Linked DNA regions of Drosophila melanogaster. The protein of the gene in region 1 purifies or fractionates together with the protein of each later gene. This does not show direct contact. Each region holds a gene or a part of one and is shown on either strand. Other genes may lie near its edges.

Region 1 (12,845 bases):
AAATCTTAGCTTCATCTGGCTTATCACAAATTTACGCATTCTTCACCGGTAAATATTTCACGCTTGATAAAATATTTAAAGTTTTAATCAAACCTAACCCAATATGGCATAGTCTTGTTAATATTTGTGCGTAGTATCTTTATTTTCGTAGAGCTTTGTACATTATGCTTTCCACTAAAAAAATAGTTAATAGTAGAATATAGAAAACATTTGTGGAATCCCATATATACATGTGGTTATTGTTGTTTTTTAATTAACCCAAAATGTCAATATCATGTGCTGTTGCTAATCCTCGCATACGTTTTTAGGAGCTGCCTCGAATCTGGTGGGGAATAATGCCAGCAACGATGGAAGAGGCATATCACAAGCTCAGACGTCCGCAGGCACATGCGAGACCAGCTTGAGTACGCAGCCCCCAGCGGGAGCATCACGCACAGGAGCCAACGCGACGTCAACAGCGGCATCGGGAAGCAACAGCAGCATCGCAGGTTCCACCCTAACGCTCTCCGCCCAGTCGAACACAACCACCCACTCGGCGAGCACTCTGCACGGTCTGGATGGCGGCCCGTCGACGGGTGGTTTCAACTCGGAGCCGGCGTCCCTGGACTCGGTGGCCTCCATGGGAATCATCGCCAGCACAAGTGGCACCGAGCGATCACGCGATCTGGCCCTATGTGCTGTGCTCATGGACGAGTGGCTTAAGGAGCTGGCTGCCATTGCGCAGGAGCAGAGCGTTGTGCTGGTCACGGAGCAGGGGTCTTTATGATCGCTTGGAACGGAAAGCTTGTGTATACATATTTTACGGATTTGTTAGCCCTTGTTTGTTTTAACCAGCTACTCTTACGAAATTATTCTTTTTACCTGTTAAATTTTCGATATTTATATTTTAAAAAACAACTTTTAACGAACAATGCAGTTTTGAACAGATTTACAAGTTAATGCACACGGACTCAACTAAAAAAAAAAAAGAGAAACACTCAACGCGTTAAACAAATAGATTTAGGTTAAATGTTTTAAGTGAATCGGGACGGTGGATCTTAAGTGTTCAGATGTAAACAAATATTCTAATTACCAGCCGTACGCAAAATTTACAACGTTTATAGAGAGAATTATATAACACACATACCATGTATACATATGTATTTTTGCAATATATTTTATGCTTTTATGTATGCAAGATCAAATTACACAAGTTATGTAAAGCCAACTTGAAAGTATTAAATTGGTCCAAGTAAATGCACAGCCAAGAAGATTTAGTTATTCTTATTATTAGCTTAGGATTTCAGGTTTAACGTGAGAGCCAATTTTATAACATGGCAACCACCAGAGGAGTCAAAGGGACTCACTGGGTATACCTTCTTCTGGTGCGACACGTAAACGCACAGTTCATTCTGCGCAAGTCAGCTGAAGCTGGAGGAGCTGCCTGCATCGGAAACACAGTTTAGGTTTGAGGGCCATTGGGAGAACTGCCTTTGGGGTGTGGCGGCGAAATACGATGATAATTTAGGCGCTGAAATTTAGCCAAAATGTTTTTAAATAAAAGTGTTTCTTATGAAAACTTCAAGCCAATATATTCAAGATTATACTTATTAAAAGAAGCAGGCAAGATAAATTTCCGTTTAGATCGTTAACGGAAGAGTTTGAATTTGAATATGTACTAAAATAGAAGTTGATCGATTGATCGATTTATGCCCACACTTTAAACCAAACACATTCCACTCCGATATCTTAGTCGAACACAAACAATCGATAGTCGACAGCACTGTGGATGGTTGAACGCATCTCTAGAAATCGGTCGCTTTCAGTCACAAAACTGCGATCGTTGCGATCGTTTGCCGTTCAAAAAACGTAAAAGTGCGCATCGCCGGCTGAATTATTGCGTTGTGTTTATTTTATTGTTAAATATCGCATAAATTATGTTATACTTTTCCCCGCCCTGCACTCGATACATTCGTGTTGGCGACTAATCACACCGCCCGCATTTTCGCAAACTTTTTGTTCTTTAGTTGCGAGTGCCGCTTGAGTGTTTGTTAAGTGCAAGGGGAACACCGGCTGAAACCGCCTTTACGGGATTCTAGCCAACCGAAAATAGTTCGCGAAACGCAGCAGGCGACGCGTCTTTTTGGCTCTCGAAAAGGGCATGAAAACTCGCGAACTGTGGCCAATAAAAGATACATACAGGAAAAAGCGATTGCGCGAATTCTCGGCTGCGTGTGCGCTGCAAATTTGCTCGTGCGGAGCAAAAACAAACGAAAATAGCCGGATGAACAAATACATCCAGTGCGAAGAATAATCTACGCTGTATAAACAATTAGCCGCAAAACAAACGGCGGAATCGAGTGCCCCTGTGTGCCAGTGTATTGTGTGTGTCTGTGTGTATCTGTATCCCTGGAATGCGCAGTCGCGCATGCGCAAATATTTGTGATTTGTTTTGAAAGGAGAGAAGGAGCGAGAAACAGAGATAGATAGAGAAACATAGAGAGAGCGCGCGATCGGATTGGAATAAAAAAAAATAAAAGGTGAGTTTTGCTGTTAGATTGGCAATTGCAGCAACTGCAGTTGCCTTGGCCTAAGTTGCCATTTTCCCTGCCCACGTTTCTCCACACAATTAATGTACAGTGCAAGGAACTATTTGAATAACATACATGATAACTCACTCACAAAAAGTTCAATTCAGGCTCTTCAGCTATTGAAAAAACATTGAATCAATACTTTTTTACGTGTACCAAGCCCACGTCAGTCGACTAAAAATCCATGGGCCTCGGCCCACGGAAAATTAACTCATTGCCCCCTCTTTTCCCTTCGATCCAGAAAATTGCTCTATTCTCCTCGGGAACGCCCACTTTGTCAGCGCTACGCCCACCTTGCCCATTTGTTCTTCTTTTGTCTCTGGTCTTTTGTCTTTTCCCTCCACGGTGCGCAAACGAAGGCGGGTTTTTCCTCCACTTATCGCTCGGCCACTACGGCCATAAAAGTCCGAGTAAAAATCAATTTTCAAAACAAGCAGGACAAAAACAAAGGAACGAGCCAGCGAGGCGGCAAGGGGGCAAGAAAGGGAATATCGGACGACAATAACATCAATTTTGAGGCATTTATATGCGCCAATAAATTCAACAGTTGCTTGCTGGTGTGAGTGAGAAGGAGAGGCAGCAGGAGCGATGGCGATAGTATCGCATCCGAGGAAAGCAACAAATAACAGGCAGAAAGATACACGACAACGCGCAACAATAAGACACAAGATCAAACAAAACCAGCAGCGAAAACCGACCACGCTGCAGCATCGCCGTTGCTTTTGTTGTTGCTGCAGCAGTTGCAATAGCAACAGCAACAACCACGCCGCATGCAACAGGTAAAAGCAGCGACGCCACCGTTTCGAAACGAAATGCCCGCAAGAGCGAAAGAGATGGCGCCGAACAACCTGTTACATCGCCCGCTGCCTGAAATATGTAAAGTCAATTTCGTGTATCGGAAAACTGTAACTAATGCCAGGCAACAGCAGCAGCAGCATTAACCCATTAACGCGAAAGGGAGAAATCGGCCAAGAAATGCAAATGCATTGTCCATGGGTTAAATGGAAAGGCGGGATGGTGTAGTTGGGAAAACTGCTTGGCCACATACCACAAACAATGCAACAGTCAGGCATCGTTTGAATTGGCAAAATGTAAATAGTAATTAATATTAATACAATTATTAACACTATTACTTCTCGGACAAAAAGTATGTTTCCTTAGGGGTCTAAGTTGAATGTTTAATATTACTCATTTCTTTAAGCCTTCATCCGAGTTGGAATCTTTTTGCGGTCATGAGGCTTTTCTAAAGTATCCACAAGAATCTCCTCCTGACTTGGCCCGGCATCTTAATGGGTTAAGATCCGCGCCCGTGGGCAACTGAGGCCAAGTTCGTTGTACGCGGCGGCAAATAAAAGACAGCGCAGTCGAGTAAGAAATTTTTGTCAATGAAAGAAAACTTTCTTTTGGGCTTATCCACGCCAACATCGCCGCCGGTCCTCCGTTCACTCTTTCGTTGTCTGTCCTCCTCGCCGGTGATTTTGTTTTGTGTGTCGCCCTGCTCTTTATATTCCTATAAGCACCCATCCATATACGTATATCTTTCTGTTTAATTGGGCGGTTTCGAGATTTACGCGCGCCTGCCGCCATCTGCAGAATCTCTTTGGAGTATAATGATCTTTTGGATCTCTACGTCTCCGCGGGCTCCTCTTCATGGTCCATTAAGACAATTTAGCCTGGCTTCTCTTTTCCGGGCCTTCGGGACTCGGCCATCGGATGCGTGGGAGTGGCAGGGGCGGCATGGGAGTGACTGATGCGTGGGAAGCCTCGTCTGTTTGTCATCTTGGGGCTGCAGGTTTGATTGCTTGCGAGCCAAGCCAGGGCAGACCAAGCCAAGTCATCCAGCCATCGAGTGTCCAAGTTGGCGCAACAAGTGTCCCAGTTTGTGGAACGGCTAGAAGCCAGCTACTCGAACTAGAACTAGTTTAAGTTTCCTGTCCCGGCAGCCATAGCTGGAATCTCCTCCACATGGTCACATACTTGCATGCTTATAGTGGCGGTGGAAATGCTAGAAGTAGGTTAGTTTAAATGCTTCGCTTTGCGATCTGTGGATAAACACGTCTCACAAAATCGTATATCATACATATATCCCAAAAATTATATAAACGCCAAGATTATTTAATAAGAGATCAGAATATAATATGCTATATAAGACTTATATTATCTTTGAGTGACATTTTTGGTGCTATTCGTTTGAGCGCAACTGTGACTTTTCTTTTAGGCTCGGTCATGTTGACTCTTGCTGCCGTTTCTGCGGTCGCCTGGAGGAAACCCCCTTTTGGCCAACCTACTCCCCTGTTATTAACCGTTTGGCCACATTTTCTCACACAGAGTGCGCAGAAATACTTGGCAGGCCACTCTGGCAATTGGCGCGCCTCTGGAAATGACAAACGGTCATGAGCATGTGGCTCCGGCCCACGAGGAAGCACAAGGGGGCGTCTCGAGCAGCTAGCAGCTCCACTAAATTACGGAAATCTAAAAAAATATTCTAAGCATTCGCCGGGAAAATTGATTTGGAATAACTGTATCAGAATGCTCTAATATAAAAAAACAAGTCTCGTCTCGGGATGCTATAAATTCCAGAAATGATCGAAACGGAACCGGTTGAAATGTATGATAAGTGATCTATAGATCGACATATCATGTTTTGAGCATGTAAATCAGATAAAAAAGACCGCAAATGATAAGTGCAAGTCTTCTTTATGGAACATGATCATTATAGAATTCCTGTAATAAACCAGTAAGTTATAATTAGGTAAAAGATGCAATGATAAGAATTCTAATCTATTTCCTCTACGACCAAAAAAGATATGCCAGATGGGTTCTACACATATCATTGTAATTGGCAATGATCCCATTCGACATAAATGCCGAAGGAATGTAAATGAGACCAGTCGATTGGAACTGCCATGAGATCATCAAATGGCCTCCAATCGCATGGAATCCGCTTTGAGGGGTGCTCCACTTGGGATTCATTAGGAGGCCCCTTCTTTACTTTCAATTCGCTCTGCTTCTGGCCAAAACGTTCTCCTGTTGGCCCAAAACAGCCTCACGTAACTGTAACTGATTTGACCTCCCATCACTTAGCTACCAAAAAAACCTCCTCCAAAAGCGTCGTTTTTTTCCGCCGCTGCTGCCGTTTTGGCATTGTGAATGGTTATGGTTACAGTGGGGATTGCGGATTGGGGCTCGAGATCTGGGCTGGGGGACTGGGGCATCCGTGGTATCAACGGAACCGAGTGGCGGCATTGGGTCTGTTTTGATGCTCGTTTGGCGGAGCGGTGCGACCTCGACAACAAATTTCTATTGCATGCAATTTGGTGAATATCGCATGCACAAATGAACATTAACACTTGGCGGAGACCCAAGAGATGAACAATAATAATAAAAAAAAATACCAAAAAACTTGTTTGCTCAACAGAAAGCAGTGACAACAAACATATTGGTAAATAAATGCAAACCACAGATGACGAATGTGGCATACACTATAATAGGAAGTATTTAGTTAGCCTATTTCGAAAGAAACATCTTGTTTGAAGATAATTTTTAAGTATGGAACTTAAATGCTATGTTACACAAATTAAAGTACATATTGAAGTTACAATATTGTGCAAATGTATAGAGTAGTTTCGTGTGCCCCTCCATTTTCTAGGGTATTAAACATCAAAAACGGCAGCCAGGCGGCAGAGCATCGAGTGAAAAAGTGCGCCTAGAAATTAGAAAGTACGCGGCGGTCTGGAGGAGAGGCTCAATCTGAAGTTGGGGCTGGAGCTGAGGCTGAAGCCAAAGTCAAAGCTATGGTTATAGCTATAGACAAAGTCGAGGCGGTGGGTATGTGAGTGTAACTCGATTTGTGACTGTCATAAATGGCGGAAATTGTGGGGCTCGAGACAAAGCGGGCTTGGGGGACTGGGGACCGAAAGACGGAGGCTTTCTGGCTAGCTTTCTGCTTTCTACTGCCGGCCTGCCGGTCTTCAGCCGCGGCTCTTTCCAACTCCAAGCTCCAAACTGCAGCTCCAACTTCTACTCCAACTCCAACTCCGGCTCCGTTTTTCTTTCTTGCTTGACTATAATTTGTGCCATCAGCATTTTGTTGTCGTTATCGTTAGTAGAGACCAGAAGACTGTGAACTGAGCTGAAGACTGAAGCCAAAAGACAGAAGACAGCAGACAGGCGACGGCAATGAAGCGTACGTTTTGACATTTCCCCAGCTCCGCCGAAGCCTCTCTCTTTTCGCTTGCTCTGGTCTCCATAATTATCGAAGCGGAGAAGAACGCGCTGCCACAATTTGGCCAGATTTTTATTAATTCCCACCTTGCGCCACCACCCTCCCCTTTTGATACCCATTACTCGTAGAGTAAGTAGGAGGCTATTTTAGATTCGATAAAATGTATGTAACAGGTACTTTCACTAGCTGGGTACCGGGTATCCGATAGTCGGTGAACTTGACTATAGCATTCTCTCTTGTTATGACTTATTCAATTCGCCACCAGCCGCAGAACAGCCTTAATATAGCCCCAACCCAATCGACGCTGAACCCAAGAACCGGCTCAAGTTCGCCTCGATCTGCGTTTATTATTACACTTAATGTGACTTGATTTATAAACAAGAGCAGCCTCCAACGGTGGACCAACCGACCAACCGACCAACCGACAAACCACTGGTCACCTCACCTCTTGCCCAGCTGTTGCGAGGAGCAGAAGACAGCAGATCGACATGGCTCAGTGACCAAAAGGAACACTGGGGGAAATTTGATCTGATATTGCAGCTCTTGCGTTTTTTCAATTCTCCGTCTACCAACTGAATTGTTGCCATGTATTTATTGAACTCAGTTGGTTGGTTTTCAATACATAACGTTATAGTTTTTCCCAGTGCACATACCGCACTGGTGTTGGGTTACTCCAAATATTGCCCTTTTCATCGCCGCCCGATAGGAACTGTCTTTTAATTAGTTCATAAATTCAGCGTGGAAAAGCTGAAACGCAGTTTCACCTCCGATGTGTAACACTTCCACTTCCCTTTCCAGTACCTTTCCAGAATCTCTCGCTCTCTTTGGGCTAAGCCCACCAAGTGGCTTCCTTCCTGGTCCCGGGTCTTTCAATAGATCGTTCAATCCGGAAGTTTGTTGCGCTGGCGCAGACAAAAGAAGTGCGGCACTAAGCGGCTTTTGTGCCCAAGAAAGGAAATAGAATTCCTACCGCGCCCCTTCCTTTTCACTCGATCAGTCGAGTGAGAATCTCAGAGTCATTTTAATGGTTTCCGCTTTTTATGGCATTGCCCGGGCCTTATGATTGGTACAAAATTAATAGAAATTTAATTGGAGGGGCCCGTGGGGTCGGGGGAAATTGGTTCTTTAGGCATTTATTGCGCATGCGCGCAGCTTTTCTCGCTGTCGCTAATTGTTATTGCTCTGGGTTTGTCGGACTTCGTAGTTCTTTATGGTTTCTTCACGCTCCGGTCTTTGTTTTTTGTATTATTTTTATGTTTAACTAGACGTGCGGGAGGTTAAAGCGTGCTAATGCTTACATAATGCTTTGTTTTCGGGCCTCTTTATTGTTTCCACACCGCCCTTCTCACGTCCTATTCACCTATTTTCACGTCTTTTGTACGTGAGGTAGGCCCAGTTGGGCGGAAGGGCGAGAAAGTCGAGGACATTTTAGGGCCCTCATAAATTATCATCTCGGGTTTCGTAATCCCATGGCATAGGAATATGATGAATAGTCCCTGTTCCCATTCACAGTTTGATCCAGTTCCTTTCTGTGCCTTTTATGACTGGGAAAAGTTGAAGATGGTACCAGATAACCTTTTATAGGTATAAATCAATGTGTGACTGTGATTTATATTGATTCAATTGGGATAATTTGGTCTAATTTGTGACCTTCCTAGGATTGTTCTTTCGGAGAACCCCCTACGGAAAGAAATATGTGCAAGTGCTTGGTTAATATTAACAGCTAGCATCCTCAATTATCCCACTTATATGCATTATAACAAACATAACCTGATTTATTTACCATAAATTATGTATCACTGTCACAGATTAGATTAGTCATGTAACTTCACAATACTCAGGCTGAATTCTTGTCGAATCCGAGCATATATAATTGATTACTCCGCCCACACTTGTGGCAACCTGTAATCTCCAAAAATCACACCATATGGAGCACGCGCTCTTTACCGCCCACGTTTATTCAAAATTTTTGGGTATTGTGAACTATGTGGAGATTTTGTGTTTTGTGTTCTCTAAATAAAGCCATACAAGACAAAAAATCGAAAGTAGCTGGCCAGAGGAGTTCGAAAAGAATTTCAGCAGCCCGAAAACTAATGAAATGCCAGAGACAACAAAAGAATTCAAACATTAGCATACATGAATTTATTCCCCTTTATTAATTTTGTGAGGTTAATTTATGTGGAGAGAGAGGAGGCATGATGAAACAGAAATTTGAACCGAAGAAATGTTTAGTTTTGCTGATGAAGAATGTTTTTTGAACCGCCTCCAGCCCGATGATAATTAAATATTTGTACATATGAACTTTACTGGGTTACGGGGCCAACAAAAAATGTCTGTAGACTATGGTAAAGAGCGGGGAGGGGGGGGGACTCTAGTAAGTCCGGCTTGATTTTTTGATTTTGGGTTTTTATGTTCTCGCTTTTGGCGAGAAGTCGACTTACAAGTCACTTCATTCGATGCTGGCCTTAAGATTAATGTTTCCCCGTACGCCGGCTCTTGGAAATTTGCATATTCCGACAATTTGCGGCTTGTTGTTCGTTAATGTGGATGTTGTAACTGCTTGCAGATAGATCCCCCTTTTAGATTTTTGTGTGTTTCAGAGGGCGTGGTAATGAGTTCTCACCGAAAGATTCTCGTTATGCGATAAATTCGAAAGTTACCGAAACGATTTTGGGTTTTCATTTGCTGGCAAAGTTTTTTTTTGTCCGTTTCGGGTAATTTACATGCATAAACAATTTGCACAAAAGTGTTTGCCGTTGCCTGGGAGTTTCGCGCATGAAATGACCAAGTTTATGGCAATCGACGGGCGGTCGGAGGTGCACAAAACCCGGAGACCCGAAGACTCGGAGACCCGTCTACCCGGCTGTCGTAAAAATCAAATATGCGACGCAGACTTGACACAAATGATACCCATAAACCATAACAACGTAGAGCCGAGAAATGGAAGTTGTATTCCGGCGATTGAGGGATTGGCGAGAGCTATGGTTTCTCGATTTGAATTCGAATTTGCCCAGGGAGTGGCTCTATTCAGGTTAATTTTGAGTCGCTTCGATTAGGCCCGACTGAATGAAATATGGATAGGAGACCTCCAGAGTTCCACTAGCTTTGCAACGTAATCTACATATTAATTCCGTTCAGAGTTTTATATACTTTTTATTTTGTTCAGCTCAGCACATAATTAAGCAGATTATTGGCCATTAGACCCCTGGGGATCGTGTTTGCGAGAAGCTATAGAAGGGAGTAGAGAAAGCACGACAAAATTGTATAAAATTATGGTTCTTTGATCTATATAATCACCTATCATCATCTAATTGTTTTGGCTTGCTTAGGTGTAAATTTGCCAATGTTTATATCTATATCTATGTTTATCTTTAAAAATATTCCGCTTTTTCTTTGTAATTAACCACAAGTTACAACTTTTTAATCCCTTATCGTAAAGCCTTTCTTCTTTCCATTAGCCAGCTGAAAATTAGAATTCCCACAGCTGTTTGCTGTGCTGGAGCTACTGCTCCAGTTTGGAGCTTTTCATTAGGAAAAGCCGCCGCATTGGTAGTCAACTCAACCCCCACCGACACAGTTTTGACTTATCGCTTAACCTTCACTCAGTTTTAACTCTTACCTACCGTCTTTTGTTTTCCTGCCTCTGTCTAACTCGTTAGCTTTTTGCATTGTTAAGTTTTTGTGTCTTGCCTACTGTGCTACACACGGCACTTTAACTTGGTGGCTGGAACATGAAAAAGACAAACTTGTGGGTGGCCTCTTCGTGAGCGATTGAAAATTAGAGTCAAATCATTTTTGACTTTGTCTATAATCGTATGGCGTATGCATTTCAAGCGTATCCATTTCTATGGCCCCGGATTGAATTCTTTTCTCAGAACTCCAGAGCCAGAGTGAGTGTCACGTGCAACATAATCGTCTTTCGATGGTTACAAATCTTCTCAGGCCGAGCCCGTTGATAAATGGAACTTCAGGCCGAGGGGCGAGTTTGTGTCTTAAGTCTTTTGAATGGCGGTGGTGCGATGTGTGGATCCTTTTGTGTCTGCGCTTCATTCATTCGTTCATTCGTTCATTCACGAACATTTTCGCTTCATTTCTTCCGCCAAAGTTTCTCACTTATTTTATTTTCTTCGGAGCCAAAGGCAAAGTCATCTGTATGACTTAATGTCGACGCCGACAGCGACGCTTGTCGTTTGTCATTCAATCCGAGCAGCGAAGGCGTTTGATATATACTCGTATGTATGTAAGTGTATGTTCCGCAGGCTTTCCCCGGATTTTTGTGGAGCAGCGTTTGAAAAACGATACATGGAGACGGGCTGTTACGTTGTACCACGCGTTTTCTGGTGCGTGCAATGCAAATCCGCAGCCAATTCCAAATCCAATGAAGCGTGCAGCCCCGATCCGGAGACTTTCTGTACTTACCTTACCATATTCTTATGTTTCGATGTGGGTGTGCAGGTTTGCTTGTCGCATTCGCCATGGCTTGTGGGTGGCCAAGTGGAGTTGGCGTCGATCTGGGGAGGGATGAGGGGGAAAATAACTGTATAACCATGCGCCATTTCCTGTTGTAAACTATATTCCATTTCAAATAAGGCTCTTAATTACTTGGGTTATGTCATTTCAGTTTCAGTTTATTACAACTAGAATTTCTTGTTTGCACTACATTAAGTGAACTAAATTTTGACCATTATTATCAGCACCCTCCTGCAAGTGGCTGGAATCATTGCTCTGGCCTACTTCCCTGCGATTCAGCATAGTGCAGTACAACAAGAGCCTGTGCCTGCCTTTTCATCACGGACTTCATTGTCTGGGCGCGCGGTCAGTTTGGGATTGTTGTTAAGTAAGTGTACTTAACCCACATGACTTGCGGTTTTGCTTGTCTCAGTGCGGACCAACAACTTGGTTTCTGCCCGTGGCTGTCATCACTCGAAAAGGCCAAAAAGCTGTCATTGCCTGCGATCTGTTGAGTTGTGGCCACAGTGCGTATACGTATGCGTGCGCAAAGAGATTTCTTAACCTTGAGTGACTTTGAGCGTTTCCCAACCAGCCAGCCATCCAATCCAATCCAATCCATCCATACGTCCATGTTTATTTATGCTCCCCCTTTGGCTCTGCGTTTATTAACCAATTTTTTCGCTGATTGTATTTTGGGTTTATTAAATTACTGATTGCACGTGTGCGTGTCCGCGTACTTGACTCTACGCTCATTTCCTTAATTAAACACTTGTTTCACGGTCCGTTGGCCAATCCAAGAGGTATTTCATAAAAATAAAAATGCCAAAGATTAGCAAAAAAAAAAAAAAATTCAAGCTGATGAAGCTCATTTGCAGAAATAATGATCCATCGGCAAAAAGTGATTAAATTCAAAGATTATGTAAAGGCGATCGACAGCAATTTGCAATGGCTAGCAACCGATTATCAAGTTCACTAGAAAGTTGCTGCATCATTACTTTTAAAGAGCTAGCTTTGTGAAAAAATAATGATACGATGTTGATTTGTTGAAAAATATCATTTAATTTTTTTTTATTTACTGCTTGAGTAAAAGTACCAAAGTAATAAGTTAACCATATTTTCTTTGCATTTATGATATAAGATCCACTTCCTTTGCATATCGTGCTACCAGTTTTTGTTCTGACCATCTTGTTGCGTGTAACTTTCAGTTTAACCCTTCAAGATATTTTCTATTAACTTGGCTTATATCTGGCAGTTGCCATCTATAACAAATAAATTCATGGCTAGACCCATTAAAAACTTATTATGCTTTTTGTGTGGCACTCCGGTTTTATTGTCCATTGTCGGGAGCTGGAGGTTGCGGGTTCCCAGTCTCCCAGCCGGGGGAAGCCACCCACAAAGTGGTGGGAAAAGTAATTTTCATAATTTTGCACTCCGACACCTTCACCTCCTTCTCCTGTTTGAGAATCGGAAGCCCCCGGGCATATTATTCTCGACTCGTTGGAAATCCACATTTACATGGAGCTGGGCGAGAGCTGTGAGCTGGAACCCCTTATTAAAATGGCACTAATTATGGCAATTTGTTATTGGCCAAAACGAGC
Region 2 (12,845 bases), on another chromosome or scaffold:
GCTGCTGTACGGAGCATTCCCGTGCCCGGCTCCCCCGGCCCCAAAGCAGCGCATGGCGGCGCACAGAAGACTGCACCAGCGCCACGACGAGGTGAAGGCGTAGAAGTGACGACTAGCACCGCCGCCACCACCATTACCACCTTTCGATAGCAAATGCTGGCGACTGTGATGCAAGTAGGGATTGTAATTCGAGCGGAAACTGCTGCTATCGCTGCTGTGGCCGCTGTCGTCGCTGCTGCTATCACTCCGCCGCAATCCAAGTCGAAACAGATTGCCATTGTTGTGGGCCGCATTGGCGAAATCCTCAAAGTCCAAATGCGACTCGTACTCGAAGTCGCGATCTATGGAAACGGCGGGTGTGATGATCATAAATTGACTATACTTTTGGCTGCGATTCGCCTGCTGCTGCTGCTGATGATGATGATTCTGTGGCTGTCGATGGTTGCGCTGCTGGTTGGCCAGCGAGTTGAGCAGCGTCTGGTTGGTGTCCACCGAGGAGTAGCTATTGCTGTTCGACACCGGCGACATGTCATTGTTGTTATTATTCACATTTCCGCTGCTCGTATTATTGTTGTTATTGCTGTGCGCAAAAACGCCAGCGGGCGAAGGTTGGGTGGTGGTCACAGCAGCGGCGGTTGCAACAACCGGGTGGTGCTGGGGCTGATAGGGCTGATACTGCAACTGCAGCGATGGTTTGGCATGTTTCGGCCGCCTCTTGGCAACTGGAGCTGAGGTCTGCTGTTGTGGCGGTGGCAACGGCAGTGGTGCCTTCTGCTGTTGTTGTGGTTGCGGCTGCTGCTGCTGTTGCTGCTGCGGTTGTTGTTGCGTTTGCGGCTGGTGCAGCGCGGGCGACGTGGTTGTGGGCGTGGACCCGACAGAGGGCATCCATCATCTTGTATCCTCCGTTCCACTACTGCTGTCATCGGGCTTGACGATTTGGTAGGTTATCAAGTACTCCGGATAAGACTGCAAAACCATAACATACTTGTAGCATTACTGAACTCGCAAAGATTGTATGGAATTTACCTGTTCGCCCCGATAGACAACGTATTCGGCGAAATGCAAGCCACCCGCCGAGGGTCTGCCCACCACCGAGTGGTGTCCCGGCGGTGCATGGGCCATCTTCATTGCACTGTATTGCAAGAAGGATTTGCCTAACGCCACTCGGCACAGCAGCAATTGTCTGCAAATTTTGGAAGAAAGGGTTGAATGAGTCGGAAGATCTTCCCAAAATGATTATCAAATCCTTACCTAGGACACACGTAGCAGGACTTATCCTTGTGCGAGGGACAGCCAATGCCGCCGCCAATTCCGTACACATACTGGTTGCTTTTCGAGCTATGCTCGGCGAAATAAATGCCAGCCCCAAACATGCCGCCAATGTAGGCGTGGCGCTCGTCGAATCCGCGTTGCACAATTGCGTTGATGAAGGGACTACCGTGGAAGAGCATACGCTCGTTGGACTGCAGGAAATTCTCCTCGGCGATCTCTTGCCGTCGATGAGCATAACGCTCCCACAGCTTTCGATTTTGTACCTTTTGCACCTGTTTTTATGACAAACAAATATTTTAGATTGGAATTCGGTTTACCATTTTGGTAAAGACTTACCCGAATGATGTTATATCGAGTGAAATAACCTCCAGCCTGTCCATTATCACGATGTTCACGAATCGTGGCCTGCATCTCCTCCTCGACGGCCACAAACTCCTTATCGTCCGGCAGCAAGTCCACCAACAATGTGCATAGATTCACGTTGTTACCAATGCCTTGGGTGAAATGAAATGATTTTTCATATAACTAACTTATAAATGTTTTCATATATTCACCTGTGGTGGACCTCAGCTGGGCGATTCCCTTGAGTATCTTGTGGCGGAAGCCGTAGGCGGAGACGCCCACCTGCTTGAGATCGTCGTGGCCCATCTCGGCTAGAATGTCCAAGGTGATTTGTTCGCGCTCGAACAGTTCGATTAGATGATGCAGCTGCTGGCTGCTTAGGAATCCGGACACATTTGTTATGGTATCCGCATCCGGCAGTAGATCATCCGAAGAGGAGCCCTCAGCCCCATTGGCCTCTGCTCCTTGGGCGGGACTGATGCGCGTGCTACTGGACAGTGGAAGTGGAACAGGAACACTCAGAATCATGGAGGCACCGGTGGGCAGCAACACCGTTTCCGTGGTGGGCGATAGGATTGCGGATGAGGACGATGAAGATGTGCCCGGAGCCGCAGCAGCAGTTGCATCTGGTGCCGGGGAACTGCTTGTCAGCGATTGCGTGGAAGCACTCAACGCCTGTTGACTCAACGAGGTGGCCATCGCGTCCTGGAGCAAGCACTTAACATCATCTGCCGTGGCCAACTCAATGGGCGTCTGCCCCTCCTGGTTTTTCATATAGGCATCGGCACCGTGGGCCAACAAGAGCGAGCACAATTGAGTGCGCCCCTTCTGTGCAGCCTCGTGGAGCGGTGTGAATCCCCATTTATCTGTCGCATTGACAACCGTCTTGTGCTTAATTAGCAGTGCCGCAATATCCAAATGCCCATAGCTGCTGGCATTGTGCAGAGGTATTAGTCCCCCCTTGTCCTGTGCATTAACATCGGCTCCATTCTCCAGAAGGTACTCGGCACACTCAAAGTTGTTATATCCGGCGGCCAGGTGAAGTGGTGTGGAATTCCTGCCCTGCGCGTCCCGGCAATTAATGGATTCCGGTGTAACCAATCGCTGTACCCGTGCCAAGTTTCCTTTCTTTGCTGCGTCTAGCAGAGCGGACGGTCCTCTCAGCAGCTCTGCAACATCGTGATCAGATTCCTTAACCAAATCCGCTGGTGTCGCGCCATCCCGATTCTTCTTCATTGGATCAGCGCCATGTTTCAAGAGCAGCTTGCAAATATCATACTTTCCCTTGGCGGCAGCTTCATGAAGAGGAGTAAACTTCCACAAATCCGATACATTTACATTGGCTCCGTGCTTGACCAGCAGTTCGGTTACCTCATAGTGCCCATAAGAGCAGGCATTGTGCAGGGGCACCAGTCCGCCCTTGTCAGCCGCATAAACCTCGGCGCCGTGTTCCAAAAGAAACTGAACCACTGGCACTCTATTAAACCCAGCAGCAAAGTGCAAAGGTGTGGAATGTCGTCCGTCCAAATCCCGGCAATTGACCGAAATCGGATTGTTGAGCACTATACGGCGCACAGTGTCCAGATCTCCCGCCTTGGCTGCCTCCAGTAAATGTGTCTCACTGTCCGGAGGATTCTTGAGCAGCTTCAGCACGCTGTCCGAGGCCAATTGAGCGGCCGTAAGTCCCTCAAGGGAAACGATATTCGTGTCCGCTGCGTACGAGAGCAGCAGTCGCACCGCTTGCTCATCACGGGCGCACCGATGCAGTGGCGTTTGTCCAAGACTGTCCAATGCATTAACCTTGGCGCCCTGCTTTAGCAGCACCTCCATGGCATCGTAGTGAAGCAGCTCGGCAGCCAAATGCAGGGGCGTGAGGAAAGCCTTGTTTTTCTCGTTCAGCAAGGATCCCTTTCTGGTCAGCAGTTCCATCAGCTGCTTGCGCTTCCCATCCGGACTGACAACGGCCAGGTGGAGCGGAGTGTCTCCTGTATATGGATGCACGAAGTTAACAATCTCTGCGCATACCAGCTTCTTGGCACGGGACACATCACACTTTCGACAGGCGTCCAGCAGGCAGTGACCCTTGTATTCAACTGAAAAGTAATATGAATGACGTTAGAGCTAAGATATTTAAAACGCAGACAGCTTATAACTCACAGGCAATCCGCTCTCTCAGCTCCCTGGTGGGCGCCGCATCGATGGCCGACTTGCTGTGGCAGTTTAGGAGGGTGGGATCCGCTCCACGACTGAGCAGCAGGCTGCAGACCTCGACGCGACTTTTGGAGGCGGCCTCGTGGAGCGGCGTAAAGGCCCACAGATCGTTGGCGTTGACATTGGCGCCCGCCTGGATAAGCAGCTTGGTCACATCGAAGTGTCCGTAGGAGCAGGCATTGTGCAGCGGCACCAGACCGCCCTTGTCCTTAGCATGTACATCCGCTCCGTTGGCCAGCAGAATTTCCACGATGCCGATCCGATTGTAGCCCGCTGCCAGATGGAGCGGCGTTGAGCGTCGTCCATCGCTGGCATGACAGTTGACATTGAGTGGCGTGAGTAGGGCCAGCAGGCGATCCTCGGCCCCCGAGCGTGCGGCTTCAAGCAGCTCATCCTTTCGATATTCGCCGGTCAATACGGGACGCGTCGCCTCGTCCGCCAGCTCCAGTGGTGTCTTCTGCTCCGAGTTGCGGATCGTATGGTTTGCGCCATGCTGCAACAGAGCCAGGCACACATCCACCTTGCCCTTGCTGGCCGCCTCGTGCAATGGCGTGTAGTTCCAGTTGTCGGTGGTGTTTGGACTGGCACCTGCCTTCAGCAACAATCGAACTACCTCGGCGTGGCCAAAGGAGCAACAGTTGTGCAGCGGGTGCAGCCCACCCTCGTCACACGCCTGTATGGAGGCGCCGCTGTTCAGCAGGAATTCAACCACTTCCCGGCGTCCATAACCTGGTAAAATAAAAACGAATAGGTTATTAGATGAATGTCATGTATTGGTCGATGGGAAAGCCCTACAAATGAGCGAGAAGGTCTTGCCTTCGGGGATTTCAACCTTGTCCATGGCATACGAAAAGAAAGATATGTTTTCCGCATTTGCAGAACTGTTGCCCAAGGAAATCTCAAAAAAGTTTACATTAGCTTATGTTCAGTTGAAAGTAAACCTTACAATTAAATGATAAATAATCAAAATAAGTCGCATAATAATCAATATAAACGGATGACAGTTGTGATGATCCAACCGAGCCCCCGATTTATAAACATACTTTTGGCAACTTTTGCATTGTCAATGCCAGAAATCTGAGTCATCTTAATAGGGTACCGTAATTGGTCACACCAGAGATGATCAACATAAAATAAATGTTTATGATCGTACTTATTGCTACGTTTATAATGAACTGCAAAGAGAACCGGATCGAATTACAAATCTGGGCAAACAAAAGCTTGAGCCACCCACCAAAAAGTGGTTTGCGAAACGTTTGTGCCGTTCACTTTTCTGTGGGCAAACAATTACGAAAGTTTTGCATTAAAAATTAATAGAATGGAAAACTTAATTCCAACTGTTGCACTTGGAGCGTCAAAGCGCCAATTGCTCGCCACTTGGAAGTGTGATCCTTGGGACTGTGAACAATATATGAATAAAAACTGAGATATATGTATGCAATTTCAACTTGATTTGCAACTACCACCCCGAAGGTTAATTTGCACAACTTTTTGGCCAGCGATAAACGTATGTTTTAAGTATCTCGAATATGGCCAAGATATGGAGGGGAAGGTCTCTCCGGGTTTATCGACTATATTTACTATATATATGTACACACACACACATAAATGCCATGATAACGGGCCAATGTCAGAAAATCTGATAGTCGCAAAGAAGCGAAGTAAAGCGATTGCGTTTTACTATGTGTCACGATTGCGGGAAAGGAAGGAGGAAACGTGAGCTCCGTTTTGGTTTCCACCGCAACAGGTATTGTAAAACTTCGAGTGGCCAAAAATGTCATACATTCAACGAGGTGAAAAGCAGCCGCAATAAAATATATATAACTTAAACGCCACCCGACAATAACAGACCCCTCGAAGATCTCACTTTTTGTGCACAGAACGTGACAAAAAGACAGACGAACATAATAATGGAAAACCAGTTTATAGAAAGAAAGAAAGACCCACCGCCAGATAATAAAAAGTGCTCAAAACTTAAAAAAAAAAAGAAGTCACAAATGGCCAAAAGGCGAAATTGATATGCAAGGGGCGTCGAGTGAAACGGTTAGAAAAGCTTGATGGCATTTTTGGGGTATTGTTCGAAAGGGGTGAATGTGGATGGGGGATGGGGAAGGGAAAGACGTTTCTTTCCACTTTTGATTCGATGCTGCCGACTGACTAAATAAATCGCAATGCATAAAATGCTAACTAGGCCAAAGTCACAACAAAAGACGCGAAAATATTGAGCCAAAGACGTCAGCAGGATGGCGCATACAACGCAGCAGCCACAACAAGTCGCCCCACTGCCCACTGCCCCGCCCACCGCCCACTATCACTGTCACCCCCACAAAAACAGACACAATAGCAGTCGAAATAATAGTTAAAAAACATGCATGCTTGTATTACGAAGGATTAATCATTTGATCACTCACAGTTGAAAAATGTAAATAAAATAAATATGTTAGCACGAGTTATTTTGTTTACCCAATCTAATATTTAAAGGCCAAGCATCTAACTAAACCCTGCGAAACAGGTTAGCTATACAATCAGACCATATGTTGCAGACCTTTATCTATGGGATTCTACGTGTAAACAAACAAAGCTAATCAGATGATATATGTGTGTTAAACATTCAATTTCCAGTGCTGAGACAGTGAAAGCTCTCATTGAAATGGCTAATTATGCAGTGCTATTATCTCGACCGCAGCTGTATGAGTCTTTTTTGAAAATAGAAAATGCTTAAATGCAGCACGCACGCACACATGCAGCGGCAAAAGGGGCAGCACGGGGGATTCCCCTTTTGAGAGGGGGTCTTCCGGAAACAAGCCAAACATATAGAACACATAGAACGGTGGTGGAAGGAGAAGCAGAAGCAGAAGAGGAGGCAGAGCCAAAAGCAGAAGCGACATGGAAACTAGGTCAACTCTCGACGCCATTGGAGCAGGCGAGTGTCCGACCGAGAGCGACGACAATGACGCCCGTCACACCCAGGCGCAACTAGCTCAAGGCCAAATCCGCACTGCAGCGGGGGGTTTGGGCGAGTCCTTCAACCTTTCGTTGGGCGAATGGTGGGGTGGGCTGCCGTTTTTAGACCGTCCTTGGAAGGGATTTGGATGGGATCTAACCGCATCGCATCTCACTTACCCGCTGCGAAATGCAATGGTGTGGATTTGCGTCCCGCCGTATCCCTGGCGTTCACGGTCTGAGGCGTTATTAGCTTCTTCACCTTGGCGATCTCGCCCGTTTTGCAGGCCTCGAAGAGCTCCCTCAGCGGATCGTTGGCCATGACCGCATCGAGATTAACGCTCAAAATGGCCCGACTTCGGCTGCTGTTGGCCATTGTTGTGCTTGTTTGCTACGCTTTGGCACACACACGCCCCGAAAAAAATAGGCAACAAAAAACAAGCGCAATATTCAGTGGGCTTTCGGGTTTTCCACTCCCAGTCCAGTTCTCTCCTCCAGCAGTTGCTCTGCCCGTCCTACACAAGCCTCGCCGTTGTCCGTCGCTGGCTTGCCCGCATCCTGTATCCAGGTGTCCTGCCTATGCCGCAGGAGCAACAATTTGCCACTGGCTGCCACGCGACCAGCCCTCGTTTTTGCTTAATATTTAATGCACAATTGCAGACCCAAAATCAATAGGATTTCTTTGGTTCGACACAGCACGGTTGCAAGGATCGCGGTTGGCTACGATTCGTTTTTACTGAGACTGCGACCAACTCTGGGACTAGCTCCCTGGTACTTGGCCTCCAAAGCTCTGGGCACGGACGATTATTTCCGGATTAATTCACTGCTCCGCGAAATATTGCATTGTTTTGTGACCGAGTAAGAGTGACCGTTCGCGGGGTGGTCGAATATTCCAGGTTGAGTCAAGCGGTGTGACCAGGCGACGGGGCAAGCCATTCTGAAAAAATACTGAAGTCCTCGAATCACATAAGCTTTTCCATTAATTATATTTTTTAAATTTAATAGCTTATGTTCTCACAAGGTTTTACACAAATTTGTGCTTCAGTGTGCACTCACTATTTGGTGAAAAGCGAAAAGACGTTTGCATCTATATTGTGTTATAAGAAACAATTTTTTTTGTTAACCAAATAGACAATATTCAATTGGTGGTACAAAAATTAAGATCATCATTTTTATGAGCTTAAATTAGAATTCTTAAATTAGAAAAGGCCATGTAGGAATTTCAATTATCCTAATATAAGCACATAAGCCTATTACTAGGGAAAAAATCTCAAAAAAATTTTTTAAAATAATAGCAAGTACCTGTTACAACAACATGCAATCCCAATTGGCATTGCTATCGATAGCTTGAAAAACACCTGTTTGGCCATCCCTGGTTGGCTGTTGGTGCAATCGATTTTTGGCATCGACTGGATGCCCATGCCAACAACAATGTTTGCTTTTAAAATTTAGATTAAATCCGTTAAAAATCCGTGAAATCAAAACAAAAGCAGTGGAGCTGCTTCACAACAAGATTATCGTGCTTACTAGAAAGTGAAGAACCACGGAGTTACCGCGCCGGAAGTACAAAAGTAATCACCAAATCGGAAATCCGAAAAGTGAATCAGAATTTTTCTAGCTCACACACACACGCGCGCATACCCGCACGCCCAGCAAACACTCATGCAAGCGTATGGAACCAGTCGTGTTGTTGTTGTTGCTGTGAATAAGTGCAAGTGAAGAAGAAGCAGAAACTGTGATCGGAAAATTAAGCAAAAAAGAAAAACAGGCGAGGAAAAGTGGGGTTGGGGAAAAGCAGACGGAAAAGTGGAAAGGCGGAGTGCAGCTAACACGCTTCGCTGGCTGCGCGACAGCAGAACGCCAGTCAAGCGCCAAAAACCATTAGTAGAACCCCATTTCCAGCTGGAGCGGCACAAGAAAGCAATTTTCTGGTAGCAGAAACACCAAGAAACGAAAATAATTGGCCGATCTTTAGAGACTCGACTCGACGACAATTAGCCGGAATGGAGCTGAAAGTTTGGGTCGAGGGCATCCAGCGGATAGTTTGCGGCGTTACAGTGAACACCACATGTCAGGTATGTGAGCTACAGCAGAGGTCAAAATAATAGCACTATTATCTTGTTAAAGCATTTTACACTGCTGCAGTGCTGTTAATGTGACCCGAACTGTATGCGCTCTGTTTGCTAGTCAGTTTGCCCTAATTATCGTTTTATTTTCCACAGGATGTGGTTTTTGCTTTGGCCCATGCCACTGGAAAAGTGGGCAGATTCACTTTAATCGAAAGGTGGCGCAATAACGAACGCCACCTGGCCCCCAATGAGAATCCAATGAAGCTGCTGCTCAAATGGGGCGAGTATGCAAATGATGTGCAGTTTATATTACAACGTTCGGAAAACAAAACACAGCAGCAGCAGCAGCAACAACAACAGCAGCAGCAGAACAATAATAATAATAACAACTATGCTGTGATGACAACAACAAAAAAGCCGCTGGGGCCGAACAACAATAACAATAATAAGCCAGCGCCCACTTTGCTAAAGCAAAAGTCGAACGTCGAACTCAGCTACCGCACAAAGGAATTGAAAAAAAGTTTCGGGTGGGTGGTTTTTATATGCTAGTTAGTTTGGAAACTACCCCTTAAAGCGCTTACCTAGCCCTAATTGTTAATAGGCTAACAAACTGTGTTTAAATATGCACCTGTGCGGCTACCATCAACTGACAAAACTTGTCTCTTTCAGGGGCCACGATGCCAAGCAGTTTGACAACATTGGAATCGTCAAGGGAATTCCGCAGCAGCAGCAATTGCAGTCACAACAAACGGCCATGGGAGCACCGGCGAGTCCACCACAGGAGCAGCTGACACCGCAGGATAACAATAATGTAGCACCACTGGTGCCAAAGCATGAGAAATCGCTGTCCAATCCGCTGGACATGACCAGCACGGGTAGCAATCCACCCGCACCTACAAATGGCTACAATGACTTCTACAACAATAACAGCAGCAGTAATCAGCATATATACAGCCAGCTGAGCAAATCCAGCAATGAACTCCGACGCTCCAGTCCCAACGAAATGTACTACAACAATAATAACAATATTGTTAATAACAATAACAACTCACCGGAGCTGTACAAGCAAACGCCGACGATTTCCGCGAATGGAGCTCTAGTCCCACCACCATATCGTGACCCGCCACCCCCGAGAAACAGCCCCATGTGCCAGGGGCAGCGTTTGGCCAGCAGCAATGCGGACACCATGTCCAATGCCTCCTCCTCGACGAATCCGTTTCTCAGCGACTACGATCAGCATAGCAGCCACAACACTAATAGCATCAACAATAATAGCCAGGCCATGGAGGAGGGTGAGCCCATGTTCCAGACCACGCAGTATAACGATTTGCTGCAGCTCATCAAGTTTCAGCGGGAGAAGATCACAGCCCAGCAAATGGAATTGCAAAAGGTACAAATATTCAAGTTTCTAAATTGATTTGGAATGTTATTATTTTATTTTTGTTTTATCTGCTTAGTTCGATACGGAAATAGTTTATTTGGAGAGCAAAGAACGCGACCACGCCCACGAGTTGGATGCTATTTCGCGTGAGATTTCCAAGGCGGATCAAATCTTTCGGCAAGGAAGCGAACAGCTCCAGACTCTGCAGTATGTGGAAGAGGAAAACGAATTGGTCAAGCAGCAAGAGAAGACTTTGAAATCAGAAATAGCTCTACTGCGATCCAAGCTGGCCAATTGCGAAACAGAGCTGCTACAATGCAAGAACAAAATGCGCTTGCTGATGGATGACATTGAGCTGGAGCAGCAACATCAACAGCAGACCAATAGGTGAGTGCATAGCAATTTACTTGCTTTGTTTTAAGTTTTTCACACTTCTTGGTTGTTTCAGGCAAACTGTGGAGCGAGACTTCTTGATGGAAATGGAGCGCATTCAGAGTGAAATCGACCAGGCTCTGCACAACACTGACACTTCAAACAAAACTGCAGATAGTTTAAAGAAGGAACTACTCATGATCGAGCATGCCATCGCGGACAAGAAGCGGCAGGTGGAGCAGCTGGTCAACGAGATGAAGGAGGTGAATTTGCAGAGCCTGACTGTGACCACCACGGAGGAGATCAAGCATCTATTGGAAGGACCCAACAAGCAGGGCAGCAGCCGGCGGATCATCGGTTCGCCCAGGCAACTTGAAACGGCGGTTCCAACCAGTAAAAATCCTCATGGTGTGTGGGTTTAAGTCACACATACCCAGAACTATTTTTCTAAACGTATTTCTCCTCCAACAAAATAATGTTTTTGGGAACAAATTGATCAACATATCTTGAATGCATAATGGAGTTGAAACGAAATGGATTCCTTATGAATATCACAATTTTAAACAATATTCTAAAAATATTTACAATAATTAACGTGCTTGATTGTTGTTTTAGTATGTTTACATTCCAATCACACTCTATGGATCTCTCAATGCAATGATATATGTTACAAATTTGAAATCACAATCGTTTTATTACTCTACATTCCGCACTGTACTTTGTATTTAATAGTAGTTAATGAGTCCCATATTCACATGCCCTAATCTTAATTTTGTGTGCTATACTTTTGGTTAATTTTTGCTGCTAGTCTACGTGTTAACAAAAACCCTTTCCAATCTCTACAATTCGCCATTAGTTGTTAACTTGACAATGAATTTTAATTGTTGCAATAATTCGAGAGTATCGTAATTTAAAAACGCCTTTCTAACGAATAAGTAGTGCCCTTAGTGATTTGTCTCCTACAGAATTATTCATTGTAGAATTCACAATTCGAATTACACAAAACTTATTGTACTTAGCAATTAGCGCAGCTTTAAAAAAACAAATTAGCAATGCTTTGTTGAAAAGTTTAACTTTTAAAGTGCTTAGCCTTAGCCACCGGATATCGAAACAAAAGACCGAAGCATTAACAATTGCAAAGGTATCAAGCATTAGTACATACATAATTGCTAGCGTACAATTAAAAGACAACCCACAAGTCGCTTTGATGTATTATGTTTTTAATTAGCAATATTTAATATTTACACAAACTGATGATGATAGTGAACTACAAAACACCAACGGAAATGCAATTTATCGAATATTATATATTACTATTACATTTAAACTAAAAACGATTTAGAACAAATTGTAATTGCATTACATCTAATTAGCTAATAAATACATTTTTATGATTTTCTCGAAACGAACTGTCTGTATTTACATTTGGTTTTGGTCTTTTGAAACACCACGAATTTTCCGCAAATGAAATCAACGGTCAGCCCGAAGTCCTGTGCCACACGAAGCTAGCTGCTCGGCCGCTTTTCTTGTGCGGAGGGAAAAACAAAATCAGCAACACATGCTGCCACCAGCTTCAGTTGGCCGCTGTGCTCGAACGCGTTTGGTCCTTTTGTCCTTGTCGATATCCTTCGCTCGCGACTCAGACTTCCTGGCGAAGCGCGCGCTACTTTCAATTTTCAAAAAGTGTCGCCCAGTGAACGGGTCAGTGAAAGTGGCCCGTAGGAAATAAAGAGGCAAAGGAGCATACATTTGAATGGTCCGTTTTTGGGGGCATCCTATCGCATTGACACAATCGACAAAGTGGTCGAGGGAGAGCGTTAAAGTGGCCCGCCAGCAAAAAGGACGAAGGAGCGCTCCGTTTTTATGGCCCTCTTCCACACCAAATGATGTTCAATTGCGATGATTGCGATAATGAGAGTCCCAGTTTCTCTGTTTTGGGGATCATGCATCGCCGAGACAATGTGACCTTTTGCGGAAATTATGATTTGTCTCCGGCTGACCTTGAGCCCCCCCGCTGGGCGATGTAACCCCCCCCCCCCCTTGCCGCCGACTCAATTAAGCTAAATTTAATCAGCCGGACAAGAAATGCTTCGGAAAAGGACCCTCTAATGCCGGTCACATATTGCACTTCCATTTCGTAGTACATTTGGCAAACCTATAACCTTGAGTTTGGCTTAATGTCTTGCATAAATTGGGGAACCAAGTGGCTGCTTAAAAATAGAACCATTCCGACTGGAGCCAACTAAAATTATTCA

What was found.
Region 2: the proteins of Ccdc85 (region 1) and RASSF8 purify together in Drosophila melanogaster (affinity purification with western blotting; one study listed by BioGRID). This does not show direct contact.

Annotation. Positions count from the first base shown.
Region 1 is NT_033779.5:2,997,483-3,010,327, forward strand, and holds the start of Ccdc85 (Ccdc85), read left to right. Parts: upstream 1-1,803; 5' UTR 1,804-2,519; intron 2,520-12,845. Other genes in the region: CG3558 (uncharacterized protein), read left to right, coding at 10-48, 309-766.
Region 2 is NT_033777.3:25,653,644-25,666,488, forward strand, and holds RASSF8 (Ras association domain family member 8), read left to right. Parts: upstream 1-8,151; 5' UTR 8,152-8,771; coding exon 8,772-8,843; exon of another isoform or gene 8,844-8,990; coding exon 8,991-9,364; intron 9,365-9,506; coding exon 9,507-10,227; intron 10,228-10,294; coding exon 10,295-10,605; intron 10,606-10,666; coding exon 10,667-11,012; 3' UTR 11,013-11,997; downstream 11,998-12,845. Other genes in the region: Tnks (tankyrase), read right to left, coding at 889-966, 1,027-1,183, 1,252-1,544, 1,609-1,766, 1,827-3,707, 3,772-4,554, 6,949-7,144.